Linked DNA regions of Nothobranchius furzeri. The protein of the gene in region 1 interacts with the protein of each later gene in a biochemical or structural test. Links are inferred from orthologs where the notes say so. Each region holds a gene or a part of one and is shown on either strand. Other genes may lie near its edges. The genes, in order: f5 and pros1.

The links.
Region 2: the proteins of f5 (region 1) and pros1 form a complex in vitro, tested with the Homo sapiens proteins (2 studies listed by BioGRID). The link is inferred for Nothobranchius furzeri from reciprocal best matches to the Homo sapiens genes F5 and PROS1.

The regions. Positions count from the first base shown.
Region 1 is NC_091754.1:39,109,836-39,113,653, reverse strand, and holds part of f5 (coagulation factor V), read left to right. Parts: intron 1-563; coding exon 564-785; intron 786-863; coding exon 864-1,029; intron 1,030-1,106; coding exon 1,107-1,287; intron 1,288-2,193; coding exon 2,194-2,290; intron 2,291-2,376; coding exon 2,377-2,582; intron 2,583-3,818. UniProt on the Homo sapiens protein: Central regulator of hemostasis. It serves as a critical cofactor for the prothrombinase activity of factor Xa that results in the activation of prothrombin to thrombin.
Region 2 is NC_091749.1:37,283,675-37,288,037, reverse strand, and holds the start of pros1 (vitamin K-dependent protein S), read right to left. Parts: upstream 3,044-4,363; 5' UTR 2,794-3,043; coding exon 2,724-2,793; intron 1,560-2,723; coding exon 1,402-1,559; intron 71-1,401; coding exon 46-70; intron 1-45. UniProt on the Homo sapiens protein: Anticoagulant plasma protein; it is a cofactor to activated protein C in the degradation of coagulation factors Va and VIIIa. It helps to prevent coagulation and stimulating fibrinolysis.

The DNA.
Region 1 (3,818 bases):
TAGGTTTTAGTATTTCCAGATTTTGTGAGTATTGGTAAAGCATGTTTATCTCAGCCTGAGGTGTGATGTTGAATGAGGAAACACATTTTTTACTGTTTTACATGTTTAAATGTTTTGTCCTGAGGACTGTTGTGAATGGAGAGCTTTTGGGGATGGCAGGTTGCATCAGACACGACAGATATAGCAATTATGTCACATCTTCTATTTATCGATGAAAACATATAAAATAATCGTAATGCATCAGGATATCAAATCGATTTGAATTGTTGACACAATAATTGTAATCTAATCAGGAGACAAGTGAAGATTCACACCTCTAGTGCAGGAACAGCAGCGGTGTGCTGTAATATTGCAGGCTGGTGTAATGAACCACCAGCAACCCCAAAGATCACTTTCACTGCTGTGAACTGTGTGACATCCCTCTACGGGTCACAGCCTTCTGTCTGCATACGTGTGACTGAACAGTCTGTGCATAAGTAGTCAAAAACACATTAGAAAGAATTAAATCAACAAAAGTCAAACACGAATTCCTTTTGTGACCTTGACCCTTCCTTTGCTGTAAGGTGTCAGCATGTGTGCTCATGCCCCTGTGAGCCTCCATATGGCAGGAATGAGCTCAGAACCGGAGGCCTTCTCTGTGCACATCAACGGTCAGGTGATGACACAAGGAGGCCACAAAGTGTCATCGGTTGGGCTGATCAGTGGCTCCAGCGCCACGGCCAGCCTGGTGGCTCCATATGCAGGCCGCTGGCTTCTCTCCTCAAAAACCATGAAGCACATAGAAGGTTGGTGTTCCTTTGAACCCCCGGATGAACAAAGGACAGGTTTACTTCATGAAGCTCAACGTACTCTTATTATTGCAGCTGGCTTGCATGGCTTTGTGGATGTGCAGAAATGTGACAACTTTGAGGAACCATCACGCAGAATGACAATTGCACAGCAACGACAAAGCAAAGAATGGACCTACTACATTGCTGCAGAGGAAATCATCTGGAACTTCTCACCCAATCTTCAGGACCATGTTGATGCGTGAGCAGCATTACCTTAGGCTTGTACCCATAGTGTTACCTGCTGACCTAACTGCTAAATGTTTGTTTTGTCGGTAGGGACTTCCAACGACAGTACCTGACAAAGTCACCAACACATATTGGTGCAAAGTACAAGAAGGCGGTGTACACCCTGTATACAAATGCATCGTTCACTGAGAAGCTTGAGAACAAACAAAGGAAAAGTGAGCTGGGAATTCTTGGTCCAGTAATTAGAGCCCAAATCAGAGACGTCATCAAGGTGAGACCGTTTCCCAAAGGTGTCTGAAATCTGTTGTAGATGTAGCATCTCAGCAACCAGCGCTAGCAGCACCGAGATGGAAACTGTAGGAGCACTGCAAGAAAAGATGCACATTTTTTGCTTTAGTCTCACTAAATTTATGCTCACATCCCATTTTGCACGAATTCTGCACAAATGTCTCACAAGATCTCCGCTGACTTCCATCAAAATTCTCCGTGGGAGGTCCCAAGACTCTTGCGTCTGGTCTTTCATCACAGTGTCACTCAGTTGTCATTCACATTTGTTGTGAATGTGGTAAAAACAGCAACAGGAATCTGTGCCACACAAATACAGGGCCAGCACTCATTTGTCATGAGACTGGAAACACGAGATTAGGTCTGGGAGCTCCAAGAAGGAGTGCAGAAGCTGCTAGATGAGCACCGTAAGTGGAATGAGGCCCAGGCTGAAAACTGCATCATATCTGGTTGCTGGTGGCTCTAGGGAAGTCAGTGTGGTTGACATGCTTATGAAAGTCCTTACAGACAGGAGTGTGAGGGTCTCCTCTTTGAATGGGCCCAGAGATGAGTCAGCAGATGGTGGAAGGCCCGACCCCAGGCCTCTGATAAAGCCCAGCTCAACATGGATTTGAGATGTGAGCAAATACTCAGTAACTAAAGAGACACAACTTGTGTCTGGAGAGGGAAGCCCTACATCTCACTCAAGGAACCTGAGAACAGCCATAACTGCACCAGCCCAGCTGGAAGCTTACACCAGTGTGCTGGATGGTAAAAGGCACTGGCAGCTCATTGAGATGCTGCTGCGACACGCTGACAGCCAACAGCACGGGAATGCTCAGTGGAAAAACAAACAGCGGCATGTATGATGCTTTTATTGTGAAAAATCTGATTCCCCATCCCGTGTTTGTAGGTTGTATTTAGAAACATGGCTTCAAGACCCTACAGCATCTACCCACATGGGCTGACCATAGACAAGTCTGAGGAGGGAGTCACCTATCCAGAAGGAGGTATGGCTCTTGCTGCTTTGTGAAGCTGCTCTGTGGTTGGATTACATCTCATGAAGTGACAAAGCTTTTCGTGATGTGGTTGACAGGAAACAAATCTCATGCCATCCAGCCAGGCGAAACACACACCTATGTCTGGAATGTGCTGACAGAGAATGAGCCTTTGGATAAAGATTCTAGATGTTTGACCCGAATGTACCACAGCGCAGTGGACACACCACGAGACATTGCCTCAGGACTCATAGGACCCATTCTCATCTGCAAAAGTCAGTCCCTCAATGTCAGAAATGTGCAGGTAAGCACGATGTTTCATCGATCCATTTTCATCCGTTTACTCAGAGTCGGGTTGTGAAGGCAGCAGCTTTAGCAGGGAGGCCCACGCTTCCCTCCACCCAGCCACTTGGGCCAGCTCTTCTGGGGGAATCCTGAGGCGTTCCCTGATATAGTTCCTCTAGCAAGTCCCAGGTCTCCCCTTGGGTCTCCTCCTTTTTGGATGTGCCTGGAAAACCTCACCAGGGAGGTGTCCTAAACAGATGCCCAAGCCACCTCCACTGGCTCCTCTTGATGTGGAGGAGCAGCGGTTATTTAATTAACTAAGAAGAGACTTACGGGACCTGGTTGAAATGTCAGGGATCACACTCACCAAGAACCGTCAGCATCCACCCCCAACTAGCACATGAGTCTGCTTATAGCTCAGTTTATCCATGAGGCTGCTAACTCACAAAATGCTCTGAAATCTGCATAAGACAGTTTCTACACAAACTCTGTCACTTATTGTATTATTTATTTTTACAGATAAACAACTACAGAGAACAACCCCTTATCCCCCCCACCCACCCCCACCCCTACCCAGTCCATCATTCAGTCCAGCCAGTGTTACAAAAATAAATAAAAGAAAAGAAAATAGGGGAAAAATAGTCAGCAGCATCATTTCCTACTCGATGTTGATTAATTCAATGGTTGCAAGAAGAGGTCTTCTTCCATTGTGAAAACTGTCCGCCCGTCAGCAGTAGATTAGTCAGATCTGTGGGTATGCAGTCAAAGACAGTCCCTGCCTGTCCTTGCCCCTTACTACTGCATGCAACCTTTCAGGAGGAAGACTATTAAAGACCTCTCTGTACCAAAGGGTGACGCTGGGTGGTGAGGTCTTCCTCCAGAATGCACTTTTAGACAATTAGGAGTTTGTCGAGGACATTCTGATGCAAATCTTTAGAAGGTAGGCCTTGTAGGAAAACCCAAGGGTCATTTTTATTTTAAACATCCTGTTGATCACCTTTGAAATGAGTGTCCAGAATGTGGAAATAAATGAATGCGTCCAAAAATAATGATAATGTGTCCTTTCCCCTTTGCACTTGAGGCAGAGAGGGGAGAGAGAGTGGTCGAGTTTGTTTAAAATGACGGGAGTAATATGCAGCCTGTGGAGAATTTTACGCCTGGAACACACCGGGAAAGCGCGACAAAGTGCCACGAAGCGCCGTGGACGAGCGCTTCTAATCGGCGACCTTGTTGACCAACGCTCTCGGTGACATCA
Region 2 (4,363 bases), on another chromosome or scaffold:
CTAAATAGAAGTGTATCAACAGAAATGATACATTTAAAAACTTACCAACATATCTAGGGTAGAAATACTCCTGGAGAAAATACAGTTGGATATTTACTGTTAATAGCAGATGGAGACTTGAATAAACTCGGTGATATTAACAGGCTTTCTAAGAAATATGGTCTCACCAGAATATTACTTTTTCATACATTGATATATGACACTGAATTATTTTTACTTAAAACACACCAGCAAAATTTCATCTTAAAAAATTCAACAGCAGAATTTCAATGGGACTGCTTTGGACTGGCTATTCAAGATCCTGGTCTTTGTTTTCAAGTCTTTCCCCACCATATTTAGCCTCACTGCTGACCTGCTATGTCCCTGCAAGATCATTACGTTCGGGTCAGAGTGACCTCCTGGTGGTTCCGCAGTCAAAGGTAAGTCCAGGGGTGATCGTGCCTTTTCGGTTCTGGGTCCTGGGCTTCGGAACCAACTCCCACTAGAAATAAAACATTCCACATCACTGCCCATTTTTAAAGCTAGGCTAAAGGTTCGTCTAGTTCTTAGCTTTTGTACTTTTTAATGTTCTGATCATTTTTATTTTATGGCTTTTTAAATCTTTTACTGTCTTTTAAATGTTGTATTTCTGCATTTTATATAGCTGTTTTATTGTGTTTCAGTTGTTCTTAACACTTTGTTCAGTACCTTGGGTCCCCTTGATTGGGGTAGGAAGGGGCTTTATAAATAAAGTTGAGTTGAATTAAAGTGGAATCAACTCGATTGAATGATGATTACTTTGCTTTGGTCACCAGGAGGTCACTTCAGCTGTTGAATTTTTGCTGTTGAAATTGGCTCAATCCCTATTCTCCCATTTCCACCCTTACGCCCTTCAATTGTGTTCCCAAATAGGGGTGCCAGTATGTAGGGTGTCCCTATTCTCAAGTGCAAAAGGTGACCGTACCCCCTTTGCACCCTTGATTTGCACTTCACCCAAGTCCGCTTTGATGAAGACTTCAGGCAAGGGTGTAACCCATAATCCATTGCTGCATGGGAATTTTGAGAAGAAGGTGGAGCAATAGCTCAAGTGCCTTTTCTGAAAAAATGTATTTTGAAATGACAGAAGTTAATTTTATGTATTCATGCTCTGAATGTTTTCGACTAAGATTTGATGTGCACCCCCTCTAAGTGCACGTCACAGAAGGGCATAGGGTGCAGTGCGAGTATTGGGATTGGGCCATACAATTGAAATTTTACAGATGGAATTTTTTGCTGGTGTACTTTAAGTTCAAAATTGTTCATATACGCAATTTCACAGAAAATAAAATACAATTTCATAAATTCTGTGACTAAAAAATAAGTCATTTTCTGGTGAGACTGTTTTTCTTCCATAGATTCCCACCATCCAGCAACAGCTCTCACCGTCTCAGGCTGGTTCTCAAAGATCTCCCTGGCCTCCTCCTTGTTGCACAGCTCCTCGATGCACTCCCTCTCCAGGTTCCCCTTCTTGCTCTCCTCAAACATGGTGTTTGCTCTCCTGTGCCTGCTCAGGAACTGAGAGGCTGTGTTCTGGCTAAGGACTGGGACAGAAAGTCTCAGTTAGACGAGATGTAGAAAGCTGTATTTTATTTCCTTTACCCCATATTTGCTGTAAAAACATTAAAACCAAACACACACTTTACTGTGTAAAATCTCTTAAAGTACCCCTCCACCCTTTAAAATAATTTTCTTTGAACTTTGGCTGTTTTTTCACATCTTTTTTCAATGTTAGCTAGTTTCACGTAACTCTAACCTATACTGTAGTCATCTAAAATCAGAACAGACAAAACAGACAATTTGCAAAAGAAATATTTTATATATGACATAGGTTATAAGTTGAAATTTCTTCACATTTTTTATGTTATTATTCAAAATCTTCAAATACAAAAACTGTTTAATGCATGAACAACATTTTAGCATCAAAAAGAAATTTACAATGAGTCATTAGCTGAAAACTTGACATAGACCAACTGTTTATTTTTAATGTTTTTGCATAACATTTCCTTTTCAATGGCTTTTTGTCTTCCACTTGTCACCCTGACTGATTTTTAAGCATAGGAACAGGAACTGAAGAGGAAATGAAAGAAAAGTGCAGCTTAAATATAAAGAAAGACTTTGTAAGACTTTTAGAAATCCACAAGTTATTCAGGAAGTTTAAAACCTTTACAGATTTTTACTTGAATAAAAACACAAGACTGCATTGAATTTAAACAAACAAGGAGGCACCGGTCCTTTCTGTCAGCTCTTTGATGAATTTAGATATTTTGTTTTTATTTCTTGCAGATGACCTTCAGACATACAGGCTATCGGTTGTTAATAATTAGCAGGACTGACACTTTTTGTCTTGTTTTTAAAGTGCAAAAAAATCTTCCAAAATCTCATAAAATAACTAAATAACTGATCAAAACAACCTTCTATAAAAGTCTATCTGCTTGGCAGCTAAATTATGGTTGGTTTAAATCTTTTGCACACTACTATAATAGAAGTGGACAGATCCTTTCTGTCCTCCAGACACATGGTTCCCATAGCTGCTGCCTCCTAATTGCTTTTCTATGAACAGAACCATTGCGAAACCCGTCATTTCCCAGAAACAAGCCCCGGTTGTTGTAAACAGATTTTTGTTTCCCGGTGCATAGAAGTCACGGTCCTTCAGAGTTGCTTCTTTCAGAGCCTGAATCTGGTGCGTAAAGGTAAATCATACTTACATCGATCAGCGTCGAGCAGCGTCACCAGAAACATGAGACAAGCCAAGGGTCTCCCTAGGGCCCGCTTCATTTCAGAGCCGTTCTTCCTGCTGGGCCAAGCTCTGGTTCTGGGTAAAGACCGGCTGAGCACAGCTTACTGGAAGAATAAAAAAACTAACCTTTTTTCCTCCCGAAAGTGTTTTTGTAGAAAGAGGAGGAGGTGGGGAGCACGTTGACACACTTGGCCCTGTCTGTCTTTTGTTTACTCTAGGAGGCTGAACTCATGCAGAAAATGGGTTTACAATGCAGAACAGGGGGCCCAGGACACAAAGAACCAATACTGACACACACCACCAGGCCTTCATGTGACATGCATGCTGTTTTAGAAGGTGCTATGGGGTGCAGATTGTAAAAGTAAAACATGTATTCGCTTTTTCAACATGTTGATCTTGGAGTTTTAAATGTTACATCCAAATGTTCAGGCACGAATCAGTAAACAGTCAGAGTGCAGGGGCGCCTCCAGAAAATTTTGATAGGGGTGGCCAAACAGCGCCAAATTTTTTTTTTGGGGTGGTATATGGAGCTAGGATTGGGACAATATTCAGCGTAACTTGTACCAAGTTTTGTAACTTCGAACATGTTTCATCACATGTAACTTTGGATTCGTAACTTGTAACTTTGGATTCGTAACTTGTAACTTTAGTTTTCTAACTTATAATTCTCAATTCGTACTTGTATTTCTTGTTTTGTAACAGGAACATTGTATTTTGTACATGTATTTTTTATTTTGTAAAATCAAACTTTTATTTTGTACATTTACTCATTTTGTAACATCAAACATTCATTCAGAAACATGAAACTTTCGTTTTGCAACTAGCAAACTTCCAAATTGAAAAAATGAAGGTACAAGTTTGAAATCAAAACTCTCAAAACACACATTTCATTTTACAGGTACAAACTATCAAAGCACAAAGAGGACTCAAATGCAGAGCTCACACAGTTTTAATAAGCAGAAGGGATTCCTGGAGTACAACACAACTGAAAAGTCCAAAACTAACTGAATACACTTTTACCAAATGTTTCTGAGAGCAGGTTCACATCACACAACAGGAGAAGACAAACTGGCAAAGAAAACTGTTGCAAAGATGCTTAAATGGAGAAGCCAGGACCCAGGTGCAAGACATGAGGCAGATTAGTGAGGAGCTTCATGTTGTGAAGCTGCCTGTGATGAGACAGGAAGTGAATGCACAAAATAAATCAGGAAGTACCAGAAATACAATAAAACCAGAAACAAGACTGCAAAGCACTCAACCTGCAGAATCACCCATGACACATACCTCAAATCTACAGTGTTACAGATCTTTTTGTCTCGATTCTAGCGTCAGTGGGAGGAACTTGGGTGGAACCAATGAGAGCACGAGTCTTAGCTACCAATCAAGTTTCTCGAATTCCTGTCCAATCATTGGGAGAGGAGGGCAGGGTTCCGTCAGAGCTGTAGAAAGGGAGAGTTACGACACTCTTTGAACTCACCGACTCGCGGTCACGTGGTTCGTGGAGCTCTCAGTTCCAAAGATCCCACAGCGCCGTAAGTCAATTTGAACAGCGTATGGTGGGACAAATCACAAAAACTTAATATAATCACATTTCCCTTGGGGAACTTG